2 linked regions of the Rhinolophus ferrumequinum genome follow. The main gene of each other region encodes a partner of the protein of the gene in region 2 in a complex. Links are inferred from orthologs where the notes say so. Each region holds a gene or a part of one and is shown on either strand. Other genes may lie near its edges.

Region 1 (7,104 bases), on a different chromosome or scaffold from region 2:
TTGGTAGGCATAGGGTGGGTTCTGGGGCTCTTCGTTTTAAGCTCACCAGAGATTCTGAGGCCAAAAGCACCTGGAACACACCTTTAAGGGTCTTCAAGGACTCCCCTTGCTCCAAGGTCCTGGGGCTTTGGGGTTTTAGAACAGGAAGGCGCTAACAAACTCCAGGCGTCTGATTTTAGCAAGACAGCTAAGCCTGGGGGTGGGACTGGGAAGGTCCTCTGTTGGGGCTGTTTTTCCTGAGGGAGGAAGAGCTGCCACACAACTGAGGGGTTCTCTGTGCTCCCGGAGAATCTACCCTGAAGGGCGAAGTTACCCAAGAAGAACTAGATCCACGCTGGGGTCTTTATTCCTCTTACTCCCGATGAGCGGTCTGCCGTCCCCTTAAGCACAGGAGTCCTTCCTCTCACCTTCTCCGCTACATGGCACCAGCAATTCTCTAGAGCAATTCTCTCCTCTCCAGACCCACATCCATCTTCAACTCCGGCCCCATGAATCTGATCCTCTTACAGCCAAGCTCCTGAGGAGCTGTCTCCATTTGCTATCTCCTTTTCCTCTTTTCCTTGACCCCGCCACTCCACTGGAATATCTCTTGACAGCATCACCAATCAACCCCCAGGTCTGTTCCATCCTCATGTGATGCAACCCCTCAGTAGGACTGATGTAGCTAGTCAGACCTTCACATCTCAAACGCCTTCTCTGGGCTCTAGGTCACCGCCCTCTTTCAGTTTTTCTCCTGTCTTACTGGCTGCTCCTTCTCAATGTCTTCTGCTACAGTGTTTCCCCCAAAACAAGACCTAGCAGGACAATCAGCTCTAATGCGTCTTTTGGAGCAAAAATTAATATAAGACCCAGTCTTATTTTACTATAAGACCAGGTCTAATATAATATGATATAATACAATATAATGTAATATAATACAATACTGGGTCTTCTATTGATTTTGCTTATATTATATATTATTATATATTATATATTGAGACCTGTATAGTAAAATAAGACTGAATCTTATGTTAATTTTGCTCCAAGAGATACATTAGAGCTGATTGTCCAGCTAGGTCTTATTTTCGGGGAAACACAGTAGTTCCTCACAAGTGAGAAGACTCAGGGCTTGGTCCTGGGACCTCTTCTCTTTCCCATCTACACTCCACTTTTCTAGGTGATTTCATTCAATCAAGAGCTCAAAATACCATCGATAGCCAGAGGATTTCATATGGTATGTCCAGATTGGGTCCCTCCTCTGAATTCCAGACTTGTATGTCCAATGGCCCGGTCCAGATTGCCACTGTAGTATCCACTAGGCACCGCAAACTTCATGTTCCACACTGAACTCATCTTGCCCTAGCACAGCCGATCTGGGCAAAAACCTTAGCATGATTCCTCTCTTCTCATACCCCCAAACCAAACCATCTGCAAATTTTGTCGGTTTTACCAACAAAATACATCCAGAATTTCACCACCTCCATTGCTTCCACTCTGGTCTGGGCCACCATGACCTCCCCCTTTCCCCATACCATCTCCAGGCAACACTGAATCCAGAGAGATTCTGTTAAAATATATTCAGATCATGTCACTCCTCTGAGCAAAACTTCCAATGGCTCCCACCTCATTCACTAAGCCATAAACTTGTACGATGGGCAAGCTTCAGTACCTCTCTCCAAACCTCCTCTCACTCACTGCTCCAGCACACTGGTCTCACTTCCTCAAACACATCAAGCAAGTTCTTGCCTCAAGGCCTTTGCACCTGCTATTCCTCACGCTTGGGATGCTTTCGCTCTTCACTCCTGTTTATTTTCAGGGTTTGCTCCCTTACCTCTAGGTCTTTATTCAAATGTTACCATCTTACTGCAGCCTTTTCTGACCATCCTATTTAAGACTGCAACCCTCTCGGGCGTACTCTATTCCCCTTTCCTACTATATTTTTCTCCATAACATTTTACTTAGTTATCTTATTTACTGTCTGTCTTTTTTATTAGGGTGTAAATTCCATTAGGTCAGGGATTTAAAATATTTTTATTGATATATTCTCAGTGCCTGGAACGGTACTTGGCACAAATACATGTGTCCAATGAATGAAGAAATGAATGAAAGCAGGTTTGTAATTGAGTAGAAGCTAGTGCCCTAGGGAGAGAACTGAAGCATCTATAGGGGTAATCCTTAGGCCTATCTTTAGAGGAATTATTTACCCGGGTCAGGGAGTTTGAGAGGTATTTAGCTAGAGGAAGGGAATACTTACCCAATAGGCAAGACCTGCTCCAATGTTAGGGATATTTACTCACATGGAGAGATGTGTATCCCTGTCAAAGGGATATTTACCCAATTGGTGGGGTGGGGGTGGGGAAAATCTCCTACCAGGGTGCAGACATCACCTATGACATGAAAAGTATTTACTTGGGTGAAAGATCTGCCATTGCAGGGAGTAAATTAAGCCGGTAATGGGGCATTTATGCAAATTGGCAGGTTTGCCTCTGCCTGGGACGTAAGGACTCAGGGGTAGGGGTGTGTGTGTGTGTGGAGGAGGAGGAAATCAAATCAAGGGGGACATTTATCTTGGTTTGATTTTCCCTGTTCTGGAGTATTCACGCTTATGGGGAGGTCTGCACCTCTCTCCTTATAATCATTTACCAGGGTGGAGATATCTTCTCCCTACTAGTCGGGAGAGATATTTGCATCCTAACGTATTTAGTAGTATCCACCTGAAGAAGACGTTCTGTACCAGTTCAGGAGCGACATTTACCTACTAGTATCAAAAGAGGTGGGCATTCTTTGCACGTTACACCTTTGGCGCCCCCTAAAACAAATACGACCTGGATGGCCGTGGCTCCGGCAGTATTTACCTGGCTTAAGTTCTCACCTTGCAAGAAAGAGGCAGAACCATCCGGCCGGGACAACAGGTTCTGTTCGCAGGCAAAGTGCCGGAGGCTGCAGCCGGGGCCCTGAGGGCCCGGCTCTGTTCCACCCGCAGTGCGGATCTTGGCGTCAGTCTGCATCGCCCCCTCCACAAGACCAAACCACGCGCGCTGTCGCTTCCGCACAGAGTGCGCGCTTGCGTACAGGCGGCGTACCCAGTGCGCACGCGCCGATCCCGGACAGCCCAGCTCGGGGGCCCGCACGTGGCTCCCCGTTTACTAACAACCTGGCCCCGCCCCCTCCTGCCTCACAATTCTAGAAGGAGCATTGGACAGTAGAGAAGGCGGGGCGGGCCTTGGCATGGGCTCGTCCTACCCGAGGCCCCCGGGCCTTAAAATCCTGAGGCTCTGGTCACGTTGCCCTTTTCTTTGCCTGTTACAGAAACAACTGTGATGAGGCGATCAGAGTAATTTTTGGGTAGCTAGGTTGTTTCATACACCCATATATAGATGTCGTAGAGACCGCAGGACTAGTAGCAGGTGGTTTCTTGGCAGGGTGGTGCTGGCATTTGAGTAAGGCTCAGGAAGGGGCAGCTCCCAGTCTCGCGGAGGAGAGGGGAGGAGCGCAGAGCAGTTGTTGTTGGTCAAGATGGCGATGGCGGCTGGCGCGGCGCGGATTTGGGGACCAAGTAGAGGCTCGCGCTATGTTGGCCTGCTCCTGCGGCGGCTTGGGGTTCGGCGGCTGGCTAGAACTGTGAGTACCTGGGGCACCGGGGAGTTTTCCCCAAGGGGGACTAGGGGTGTCAACGCTGTCTTTAGAGTGTGGGGTCCCTGCAGGGAGAGAAGGAAGGGCTGTCACAGAAGGGACAAGGGTAGGGAGAACCACTTGGAGAGGACACTCAAAGGGAGACCTTCCACTTCCTTAAAAGAGGAAAAGCGAGGCAGCTTCTTTGGGGATCCTGAAGGAGGGATACAACTTGGAAAAAGAGGGGGGGGTTCCTCATTAGTTGCCACCCACCCCCCACGGGAGGGGTGGCCCCCTGGAGAGACCAGAGAAGGAGAGGAGACCTTTGCCCACGGGGGGTGGAGAGTGAAACTGCCTTAGTGAGGGGAAGACTTTGTGTTCGGTCAAGAACCCCCACCTTCAAAGAGGAGAAAAGAGAGATCACGTCCCCTGCTACCGGCTTTCATAGTGCTCTGTATTTCTTTGCTCCTTTGCTGCAATTCTGATTTTTAAATGGATGGCATAAAAAAGTTGTTTGGTCCTGGGCCGCCTCACCAAGTACCAGGACAGGGATCTTGTCTGTTTTGATCACTCTATAAAGGAGATGATCAGTAAATATTTGTTGAAGTAATGAGAGGAGAAAACGAGGGAGAGGGGTCCACAGGGCACTTTGTCCACATTTTTTAGAAACACATCGAACTGGAAGTCCCTGTGGGCTACCTTAGAACTATGAACTGAAGTTTCACAATAAGAGAATAGTTGTTTAGAAGGTAGGTTATGAAGCAAGACCACCGTGGTTTTATATCCCAAATCTACAAGTTTACAGCTGTGTAGCCTTGGGCAAGGGATTGCTGCTCTCTGGACCTAATTTCTTTCCCCCTCGGGAAAATGCTAACAGTGGCACTACATAGTATTGTTGTGAAAATTAAATATATAGAATGCTAAGAATTGGCCCTGGCATATGATAAGGACAATAGGAACGTTGGCCACTTTTGAAAGTGAGGGAGGAGGAAAGGGAGGGAGAAGAAGGGTGACCTGGGTAGAGCCTGGGTTGGTGAGGGCCTTGGAGAGAATTTGTCAGGATCTTGTGGTGTTGGGTCTGACCCTCTGACCCTCCAATCCAGAACATAGGAAAGCTGGAAGCTGTGGGAAGGAGCTCTAGATAAGAGGAGAAACATGGGAGGAGGATGAAGAGGATGGGTCGGGAATGAGGGGAGGGATCCTTGGAAGGGCGTCTGGATTTTGGAAGGGCTGCTGGGGCAGGATGTGGGTAGGGCAGTCTCCTGCCTTTGGGTTTGTCTGTGTTGCTTTGTTTTTTTTTTAAAGCAGTAAAAAAAAGCTGTTCTCAGTCACAGGAGCCTGTTGGCTGAGTCAGTGCGAGATGGGCAGGACTGGTGAAAGTGTAGGGAAGGGTCATTTGTGGTTGATTAAATATTGTTTCTCACCCCAATAAATTAAAAAAAAATATTCTTCCTTCTTGACTCAGTCACCCTGCTGCCCTTCCCTCGTTCATTTCTTTTTTTTTTTTTTTGGTGGGAGGGGTGCGCGACAGGAGGAGGAGGTCTTTCAGAATCCCTACTTTTTATTTACATATATTTTTAAGTATGTATATTTTTGGAGTCCCTGTTTTTTCTTCCCCTCTTTTATTTCTTCCACTTGGTCTAAGATATAAAATAACACTTTTTTTTTTTTTTTGAGTGGAAGGAAGGAGGAGTAGCATTTAATCAAAGATTTTAGGCCAGGCTGTCAATAGAACTTTTTGCAGTGATGGAAGTGTTTTATATCTGCACTGTTCAGTACAGTAGCCACTAACCACACGTGGCTACTGAGCCTGAAATGTAGCTAGTGCCACTGAGGGACCGAAGTTTTCACTTTACAGACAGTTGCCAACTTATGATGGTTCGACTTAACATTTTTCAACTTTATGATGGTGGGAAAGCAATACACATTCAGTAGAAAACTTGTTTCAATTTTGAATTTCGATCTTTTCCTCGGCTGGCGATATGATATGCAGTACGGTACTTCCTCGTGACGCTGGACAGAGGCAGTGGGCCCCCAGTCAGCCATACGCTCACGAGGGCGAACAGCTAATACTCTACAGTGTTCTGTGTTGCCAGCGCTTTTTGCATATTGTGTTTTCACACCCTGTCATGTCTACAAAACGCACATCTGTGTCTCCTGCTTCTGATGAGAGGAAAAAGGAAGGCAGTGACTCTTGAGACAAACTCAAGATAATCGCCCCGTTGTAGGCTAATGTAAGCATTCTGAGCTCGCTCAAGGTAGGTGAGGCTAAGCTCTGATGTTCAGTAGGTCAGGTGTTTTAAATGTGTGTGTGTGTTTTTTTTTAAGATTTTATTGGGGAAGGGGAACAGGACCTTATTGGGGAACAGTGTGTACTTCCAGGACTTTTTCCAAGTCAAGTTGTTGTCCCGTCAATCTTAGTTGTGGAGGGTGCCGTTCAGCTTCAAGTTGTCCTTTCAGTCTTAGTTGTGGAGGGCGCAGCTCAGCTCCAGGTCCAGTTGCCGTTCCTAGTTGCAGGGGGCGCTGCCCACCATCCCTTGTGGGAGTCGAACCGGCAACCTTGTGGTTGAGAGCCCGTGCTCCACCCAACTGAGCCATCTGGGAGGCAGCTCAGCTCAAGGTGCCGTGTTCAATCTTAGTTGCAGGGGGCAGAGCCCACCATCCCTGTGGGACTCGAGGAGTTGAACCGGCAACCCTGTGGTTGAGAGCCCACTGGCCCATGTGGGAATCCAACCGGCAGCCTTCGGAGTTAGGAGCACGGAGCTCCAACCGTCTGAGCCACCGGGCCATCCCCTTAAATATATTTTTGATTTATGGTATTTTCAGTTTATGCTGGGTTTTTTTGGACTTCAACCATTGTCAGTCAAGGAGCATCTTACTTAATTTTAATGAATTTAAATAGACATAAGTGGCTTCTGGCTTTTGTGTTGGATGGTGCAATTTTAGCCGTTCAAAGTGGAGCCAGGAGATAGCGCCTTGTGGGGGGGAACAGACTGTAGTGCACAGATTGGGTTGTTCTGGTGGCTGGGTTGGGAGGACGGCTGGGGCTGCCTTATTTCTCCCTGCCTGTCTGCCCCTCCTTTCACCGTGGAGGCATTTGCCTGATTCTGCCTTCCTCCCTCCCCCTCCAGTCGCTAGAAGATAGGTTAGTGCGCAGGGAGAACAGGAGGGAGACTTGATTGTCACGGAGTCCTGAGTCAGTTTCTCAGCCACCACCCCAAGAAGCAAGTGGGACCTCAGCCAAGTCATTTCACTTCTCTTTGCTTAGCAAATGGGTAACTAGAGTTCCTGCCCTGTTGGAATTTCAGGGAGCACCTAGAGCTCCCTGTGTGAATTAGCAGGGATGTTATTTCTCTGACCCAACTGATCAGACAGCCTGTCTGGGCTCTAGTACCCTCTGCAGTGTCTCCAAGTGGTTGGTGCCCTGTGTGTATTGTGGGATGAATGGAGATGGTCCTTACTGATCTAATTGTATGGGTCCATCTCCCTCTTGGCTGTGTCTTAAGGAACCAG
Region 2 (7,883 bases):
GCACCAGCAGCATCCATATCACCTGGGAGCTGATAGAAGTACAAACTGATAGGTCCTACTAACCTTCCTACTGAGGGTGAAGCCTAGCAATGTTTTAACAAACTGGCCAGGTATTTCTGATGAACTTCGCCACAGAGTAAGCACGACCATCTCACTGTGCTGAGAAGAGTGTATTTTTCACATGTGGCCCCTAAACACTCCATCTAATGCTTGGTCCAAAGAAGAAATCATCTCGTTCTATTCTAGAAAACCAGGCTAGAGTGTGCTTTTTGACAGACATTTCAATACAGGAGATCTAAGAGTTTCAAGGGTAGTTTTTCTTTACGAACAAATTTTAGAACATACCTTGTTTCCATCTACAAGCCTTTACTACTAACAGGTTGCCTGCACGTGAAGGATATTCATTCATTCACAGAAAGAGGCCTAGCTCACATCGGGGAGCTTACCAGTGTCACTTCATCTCCTTGGACGGACACATCAGGCCTTCGGAAGTGACACAAGGCTACAATGGCAGCAATGCTGGCAGCATCAATAATATTTCCATCATGATTTAATAAATGCAGGTCCACTCGTATTTGCCAAACCTGAATGTGAATTTAAAACAAAAATAAATCCTAACTGATCACAACCAGTGGCCTTTTAAAAGGAAAAGTAACACTGTATGCAAATTTTTCTTCTGCTGTTAAAACGTGATTATTCCTCCTATTGTATCAATAAAACTGTATTTAGAAAAATGTTAAGCCAGACCAATATCTGAAATACCACCAGTTCACCTTTATATGAATCATTTCACAACAGCAAAATATAAGCCCTAAATATATAGAGCCATTCTACATTTAACACTAAGATTTCCCTATCTCCAAAACTAATTATATTTTTATTGTCTCCTAACTTAAAAACCTCAAACCCTTAGGTTTTACTTGACAAATGATAATCTTACAAGTAATGCAAATAGGAAGTGTCATATTCAAGTATGGAATGTGGAAAGGCTAAGTGACTTCTGGAGTCACAAAAGATGGTCGAAATACCCTAATCAAGGAAAAAGTACTAATGTCATCATGCAGAATAATTTATTGAGAGTAAGATTTCCAATGTCAGCCTACCACGGACTCACTGTGTAGCCTTGTATAAGTCAATAAACCTATCCAAATGAAGGATTTAATCTGTTCCTCAGTTTTTCATTCATTAAAAAAAGGAAACCATCTGCTTATCAAGTCAAACAACATAAGAAAATAAATAAAGACATATGAAAAACCGCAAGTTCTTTGAGTAAGACATTTTTTCACAAATCCAAGTTGCTACTTTTATCAATGTTTTTTGTTCCTTCACAGAGAAATGACACAAAGTTCTATGGCTGGCTCTCAGGAACATTTGAAGTGAAGTAAACCTGAGTTAAAGAAGCTCTAAGAATTAACGTAATCAACAATACTCATGCTAAGATTAAGAATTTTGAGCAGATTTCCCACCTTTTCACCAGCAACAACACAGAGAGATTCAGTGTCTATACACTTCGAATTTCTTAGACATCTTTCCAAGAGACGATTCAACTTCACCAAGAGATCTGACTGCCTATGAAAATAGGAATGGGCTAATGTCAACCAAGCGTTAAAACAATACCTCACTGCTATTAGATTCTCCTCTGGTTAAAGCAGCTTAGAAGAAAATTAAAATACCTGCCGGGTTCAAAAGCTGGGGCAGCCATCTGAGAGAGTTCAAGGTTAAAAAAAAGAATACCTTCTGTTGCCCTGTTGAGTTTTGGAGAAACAAGTTCACAGGAAACCTGTCCAAGAACTCTGCAAAGATAAAGTACAAATCTGTTAACTAAATATATTGCCTTTCCAATTAACAAAAAAACTAAAACAGATACCAATTAAGTTTCAATCATATTCTGAGTAATAACATACTCATCATGATATATCAGAGGTTGATATTACATATGTAGTGGCAGAATATATACAGGAATAAGATACATAGTGGCATACCCAAAGAGATGACAGGAAAAAACATCTCATTGCAATACTGACTATTCCACAGATCGTTTTAAAAAAAACAAATCCCCTTAACTTCTCTTTTCTAAAATAAATATTTACTGATACAAGATGGCACGAAAACTTGAGATTTCTTAAGAGTTTTCCTATGGCATGCATGGTTGGCCAATATTATCTGACCAACGTCCTCACAACCGCCAAATGAATATTAAAAATCTAATTCTCATGTCACGCAGGAAAAAGGAAAGTAGGACCTACTTACTGACAACTGAAGGAAACAAATTCATGTGACAGAATGTACATTTACGATTTAAAATTTAAAACGTGACTATAAAGCACCTTGCATTAAAGAAAATACACTTATTTTTGCAGCTAAACAAAATAACGTGCAGGATTGTTAGCTGCTCTGTAAACAACTAAGTCAGTTAGGTTCTTTTAAACTTTTCCCCGTTGAGCTTATGTTTAATTTGAAGCCAAAGTTACCTTGTTTTCCCAAGTTCCACAATACAGCACCCATAATCGGTTCCAAATGAGATTCTGATGTTCCTATAGTCGTAGGTTTGTCTGCCATCCAGGCGCTGGAAACACAATATACACCAGCTTATTCACCTCAACAGATACTGGGCAGCTACTCTGAGCCCGGGCCCTGGGCGAAGCCCTCGGAGGGAAGCGGGATCCTCCGCCTCCGCCCCAGGAAAGTAGAAACTAGGTGCCCGGGCAAAGAACCCCCTGTAGCCAAATAAAGCCTGGTGGACGAGGGACGCACCGGCCGTCCCCCAGGGGCTCCGGGGGCCTGCGGGGACCAGGTCTGTGTCCCAGCCGGAAGACTGCCGCGGGCCGGGAGACCCGAGCAGCCGAAGCTCCCCGGGACCGTTTACCTTCTTCTCCTCGATGGCGCGGAGGAGGAAGCGGCGCTCGCAGTTTGAAAGTGGTGTCTCTTTCATGATGTCGGGTCCCGGGACCCAGGGGCACCGGAATCCGTACGGAGACGGGGACCCGAGCTTCTCCACGCGCACCCTGCTCGCCGGGAGGCGCAGGACCTCTACGTCATCAGGGCTCGGCGGCCCGAGGTGCGAACGCGAAGGCTGGCGGCCGCTAGTGCGCACGCGCCCAGCGAGGATGGCGCGGGCCGAGCGGGCCGCCGAGAGCCCGGCCGCCGAGGGGGGCGCACTTCTGAGCGGAAAGGTCTGAGTCTTGTCTCCTCAAGCGTAGGGGACAGAAGGACCCGGAAGTAAGCGTCAGGGATGGAAATGAATTGCAGTGTGGCGCTCTCACGGCACCCTTTCCTCAGTTGTAGCGGGGTGGGCCGCACAGGTGTTCCTGCTGTTTTACTGGTGAGGAAGGCGACGTTTGTTCACCAGGACGCTGCAGAGGCAGAGTGTCCGGCAGATTCAGGGGAGAAACACTGAATGTAGGGGCGCAGGAGGAGAGGAGGGGGAAGAAAGTTGAGCCACGAGCTGCAGTGAAACCTCGGAGACCTGAGAAGGTGACAGAAACTGAGGCTGTCCCACTTCGTAACCAGTGGTGTTATAACTACCATTGGCTGGAACAAAATGTGCTGTTGATTTCTTACAGTCGCCCCAGTTATTTTAAACCGATTGACTTATTTTTATGGGTATAGAGGAAACAGCGTGTCCCTGCTGCCAAACCACTAAGCTTTCTTTGGAGAGGCAGCATCAAGGAGTATTAAATGCAGGAAACCCAACTACTTGGGTTCAAATAATGACTCGGCCGTTTTCTACTTCTGTGACCCTAGTCCAGTTAGCCTATGTGCTTCATTGTACTTATCTGCAAAACTGGAGTGACAGACGTCTGTACATGCTTAGAACAGTGCCCAGTCTGGTGTAAGCGCTATTACTGACATGTTTGCATAGCATTATTTTGTTTCTATTTGCTTCAGAGGCGGTAGGCACTGGAAATCCTATGGCAGGCTCTATTCCTTTCTTTTGTCTCTTACAGGTTTTTTTTTTTTTCTATCAGTGATGCATTTTAGTCTCACTTTGTAACACTTGCAATTCATGTACCTAGTTATCTGTGAGGCCCTCCTGTGTTCCAAGAATAATTCAAGTGCTGGATAAGCCGGGTGGACAGATACTGTCCCTCAAGGAATTTATATTCTCTTTGGAGGAGACAAGCAAGAAAAATAAGTTCACGGACTAAGTGCTATCCGAGAATGGGGATGCTACTTTAATAGGGGTATTTGCAGGAAGAGGTCACTTTGGAGAGGTGACCTTTGAGTTAAGTAAATCCTTAGTGATGAGAAGGAACAGCCATGATACCATCTGGAGGAAAGGAAAAGTGTTTCAAGCAAAGGAAGCAACATTAGCCAAGACTGAGATAGGATGAGCTGACATTGTCTGGAGACAGGAATTGTGAAGTAGGAGGAAAGTGCACAGAAATTATGTCCACGAGCTCAGATCGTGGACTGGTTTTCAAAATAAGGAAGAATACAGGGTACAGGCCCTTTAAGTTCTTTAACAATGTAAGTTTGTATTTATAGTACAGTTTCACTATAATTCCTGGTTAAGTTCATCATTTAAATCCTTGGATTCTTCTATGGACATTTAGTAATTTCTCTTTCCCTTCAGAAATGAAATAGGCCTTTATTGAAACCGTCTATCCTGGGAGGCAGTTTGGCTGTGGAAGAATAGACTTTTGGTTTCAGATATACTTCAGCTCAAATGGACTTTGGGTGAGTTAAATAATCCTGCTGAGTGAGGGCTTCTTTAGGTTAGAAATAATAATTGCTTTGTGTTAAGTGGTGGGGATGAAAGCACCTAACACAGTGTTCTGGACACGGTAGCTCTTCAGATGTCCGTGTCCTTCCTGTACCCCCTACCTGCCTCTCCACATCATGTGGCAGTAGTTTGTCCTGTGATCTCACTTCTGTGATGGATCTAGGAAAAGGTGTAGAGTTTTCATTTGCTCAGTTTTTGTCATGTTGTGTGGAGTGACCACTTCCAAGCTTACTACTGTTGGACCAGAAACTGGAAGTCGCATGAAGTGAAAACCTATAGCCGTTTCCTTTTAGCAAACATGCATATAACACTTACTATGTGCCAGGCCCTAATTTAAGCACTTACAAATATTAATCCTAATAATTACCCTGTAAGGTAGGTAAAAGTATTATTTTGGGGGGGGGGGAACCCAAGGCACAGAGAGTCACACAGCCCAGGGTCACACAGCTAGTGAATCCTAGGAGCAGGATTCATACCCAAGCGGTCTGTCTCAAGAGACTGTATTCGTAACCGCTGCGCTGTACTGCGTCTCGTAAATGGGAACCCATTTCTGTGCCAAGCGGGTGATCTTCGCCTTAGCCCTGAACGAGTTCTTTTGCTGTCTCTGTGAGGATCTTGACTTCCTCTCTTGAGTACTTTACAGTTGACATTATGTAGAGAAGAAAGCTGCTGTTCTTAGATTATCTGAACTCAGTTTCTTGTGCTTAGGCTTGGCACGCAATTAGAAGTACAGTGATGAAGTAGGGCTCATAAATGCAGAGACGTGAGCAGGTCCAACTGTAACTCCACAGCTTGCACACGAGAGAGAATGCGACTGGCACTGAACTGCTAACAATGAGCCATAGGAGAAGCTGGACGTGCAAAAGTGGTGTTGGCTCTTCATGGAGAGACTTACAGAATATGTCATTTGTACAACCTTAGCCACTCTTTCAGCCCCAAAGCCCAGGGATGTTGCACCTATATCATTGATTGACTCTTTACTCAAGTTAATGATTTAAGAGGGGAAGTTTCTACCTTATTTCTTGTTTTCCTCTTTCTTAAGTTGCCTAGGAAGGGAGGCTTAGTTTGTTGCAGAAGCAGCTACTTCAGGAGAAGTGGGAGAACCCCAGACGATGCTGACTCTATGTGAGGTAACAGTGGACAGCCAGGCCAGAAGGTGGTAGGTGTCACATCTCTTTAGCGAGCAATGCAGCATTATTTTGAGAGAGAACTTCAGTGGTGGGCAGCTTCTGAGATGACCCCCATGATGCCCACCTCCTGGTATTCAGGGCCTGTGTAATCCTCCCCCTTTCAGTGACCTGCCTCTAACCAATAGATATCTCAACGTGGAGGGGATGACACGTCTGTGATTAGATTGCAGAGAATGTAACTTCTATCTTGCTAGAAGATTCTGTCCCTTGTTGGGTTTGTGAAGCAAGTTTCTATGTGAGGGGGTGTCCTCCATCCAACAGCCATGGAGGTGTTGAGCCCCACAATCCGCAGCCCACATGAAACTGAGTACAGCCCACCATCACGTAGGTGAGTTGCAGACAGGTCCATTCAAGTTGTGCTTTCAGTTGAGACCCAGCCCTGGCTGATGTCTTGATTGCGTCCCTAAGAGAGGCCATTAAGCAGACCTCACTTGGCTCTGCCTAGTTTCCTGACTCATAGAAACTTGGTGATGAATGTGTGTTGTTTAAGCTGCTAAGAATCAGTAGGCAGATAAAGCAATTTCGAGAACCAACTCTCCTGAGGTAAGTACTACTTCTTTCTTTCATGTTTCACTGGCCTGTTTCCATCTTGTTGATAGTGCAAAGGAATCTCCATTTGACATTCTTTGCAACTTCTGAGCTCATCAAAAGGCTGCTGAAACATTTTGCGAAGGAATTTGTGGTACATAAAATGCTAGATCTGTGTCACTGAAGTGTGCTTTCTTTAGTGACCAGGACATTTTTTAATGATCTAACGGGTTGCCTGAAAGGAAAGCCTGGTTTGTATCTCAAGAATCTTGCTCTACTTAAGTACTAATGGACTAGAACTGTAATCTCTACCACTGGTAATAAAAATTGCAGGGGGAAATAATGACTTCTAGGACGCAAATGGAAAAGCCTTGGCCAACTTTGCTTTTGCTTTAAAAAGTAAATAAATAAACTGAGCCTGAAAATGTAGTTTGTTGAAAGTCATTGACAAAAATCCATCCAGTAATGGACTTTTTAATCTGATCCAATAATGTTATCTGAAAAGGCAGAATGCGTATTAGAATCTCAGTTATGAGTACTTATCTGTAAAATACCAGTATCTGCTTATAAACAGGGGCTGGGAGGGAAGATTGAAATTATAGAGATTATATATTATGTTTGATGGTGGTATTTTTCTTTACTTTTCATTTGATATCACTGGTAAAAATTGGATTGTGTAAGAAGTAAAACTCTGTAAGAATCTAGTCATTTATACAAGTATTTCCTGTGGTCCTACTATGTGCCAGGCTCTATTCTAAGCACTGGGACAATGCAATACACACAATAGTCACAGTCCCTTAGAGCTTATGTTATAGAGACAGGTGGACAGTCCAATCATCTGCAGACAAGCACATGAATAATGGCTGACAGTGATAAGTGATATAAAGAAAAGTAAAGCCAGGCCAGGGGAAGAGGAGGGTCAGGAGAGCATAATCAGGAAGGAGCGTCTCCGATGAGGAGGCGTTTGAGGGAGCCTGAAAATGTGGGCATGAAGGAGTATGTAAGTGGAGTGTGGCATTCAAGATGATCAAATAGGATGTGAGCAAGGTTGCTGGAGACAAATAAGGTGACTTCTTTGAGGTTCTTTAGCAAGTACTTAGCACACGTGGACGTGGTTTCATGAGCAGGAGTTTAATAGATAAGGAGCTCAGGCTCCAGAGCCAATGGCCTGGATGAACTTCCAGCTGCAGCTTATGAGCTGGGTGACCTTGGGCAAGGTGTAAACCTTTCTGGAAAAAAAATGCAGCTAATAATACCCTCATAAAGTGGTGCTGCGGATTAAATACTATGTGCAAAGCGCTTGGAGTAGCTCTCAGCCCACATTTAGCAATAATAAAGATTAGTTACAGTGACTGTTCTTACTAAGTTTCCTCCATTACAATACTTATTCTTTATTAAGGGAGATCAACACATGTCACTCTACAGGGATACAACAATAT

What was found. The genes of interacting proteins can lie anywhere in the genome.
Region 1: EXOSC9 (region 2) and EXOSC5 share a complex: the UniProt entries of both Homo sapiens proteins name them as parts of the RNA exosome core complex. The link is inferred for Rhinolophus ferrumequinum from reciprocal best matches to the Homo sapiens genes EXOSC9 and EXOSC5.

Annotation. Positions count from the first base shown.
Region 1 is NC_046298.1:39,685,660-39,692,763, forward strand, and holds the start of EXOSC5 (exosome complex component RRP46), read right to left. Parts: upstream 3,056-7,104; 5' UTR 2,988-3,055; coding exon 2,852-2,987; intron 1-2,851. Other genes in the region: BCKDHA (2-oxoisovalerate dehydrogenase subunit alpha, mitochondrial), read left to right, coding at 3,496-3,600. UniProt on the Homo sapiens protein: Non-catalytic component of the RNA exosome complex which has 3'->5' exoribonuclease activity and participates in a multitude of cellular RNA processing and degradation events.
Region 2 is NC_046301.1:4,659,431-4,667,313, reverse strand, and holds the start of EXOSC9 (exosome complex component RRP45), read right to left. Parts: upstream 3,052-7,883; 5' UTR 2,933-3,051; coding exon 2,867-2,932; intron 2,567-2,866; coding exon 2,472-2,566; intron 1,794-2,471; coding exon 1,674-1,793; intron 1,570-1,673; coding exon 1,467-1,569; intron 585-1,466; coding exon 447-584; intron 1-446. UniProt on the Homo sapiens protein: Non-catalytic component of the RNA exosome complex which has 3'->5' exoribonuclease activity and participates in a multitude of cellular RNA processing and degradation events.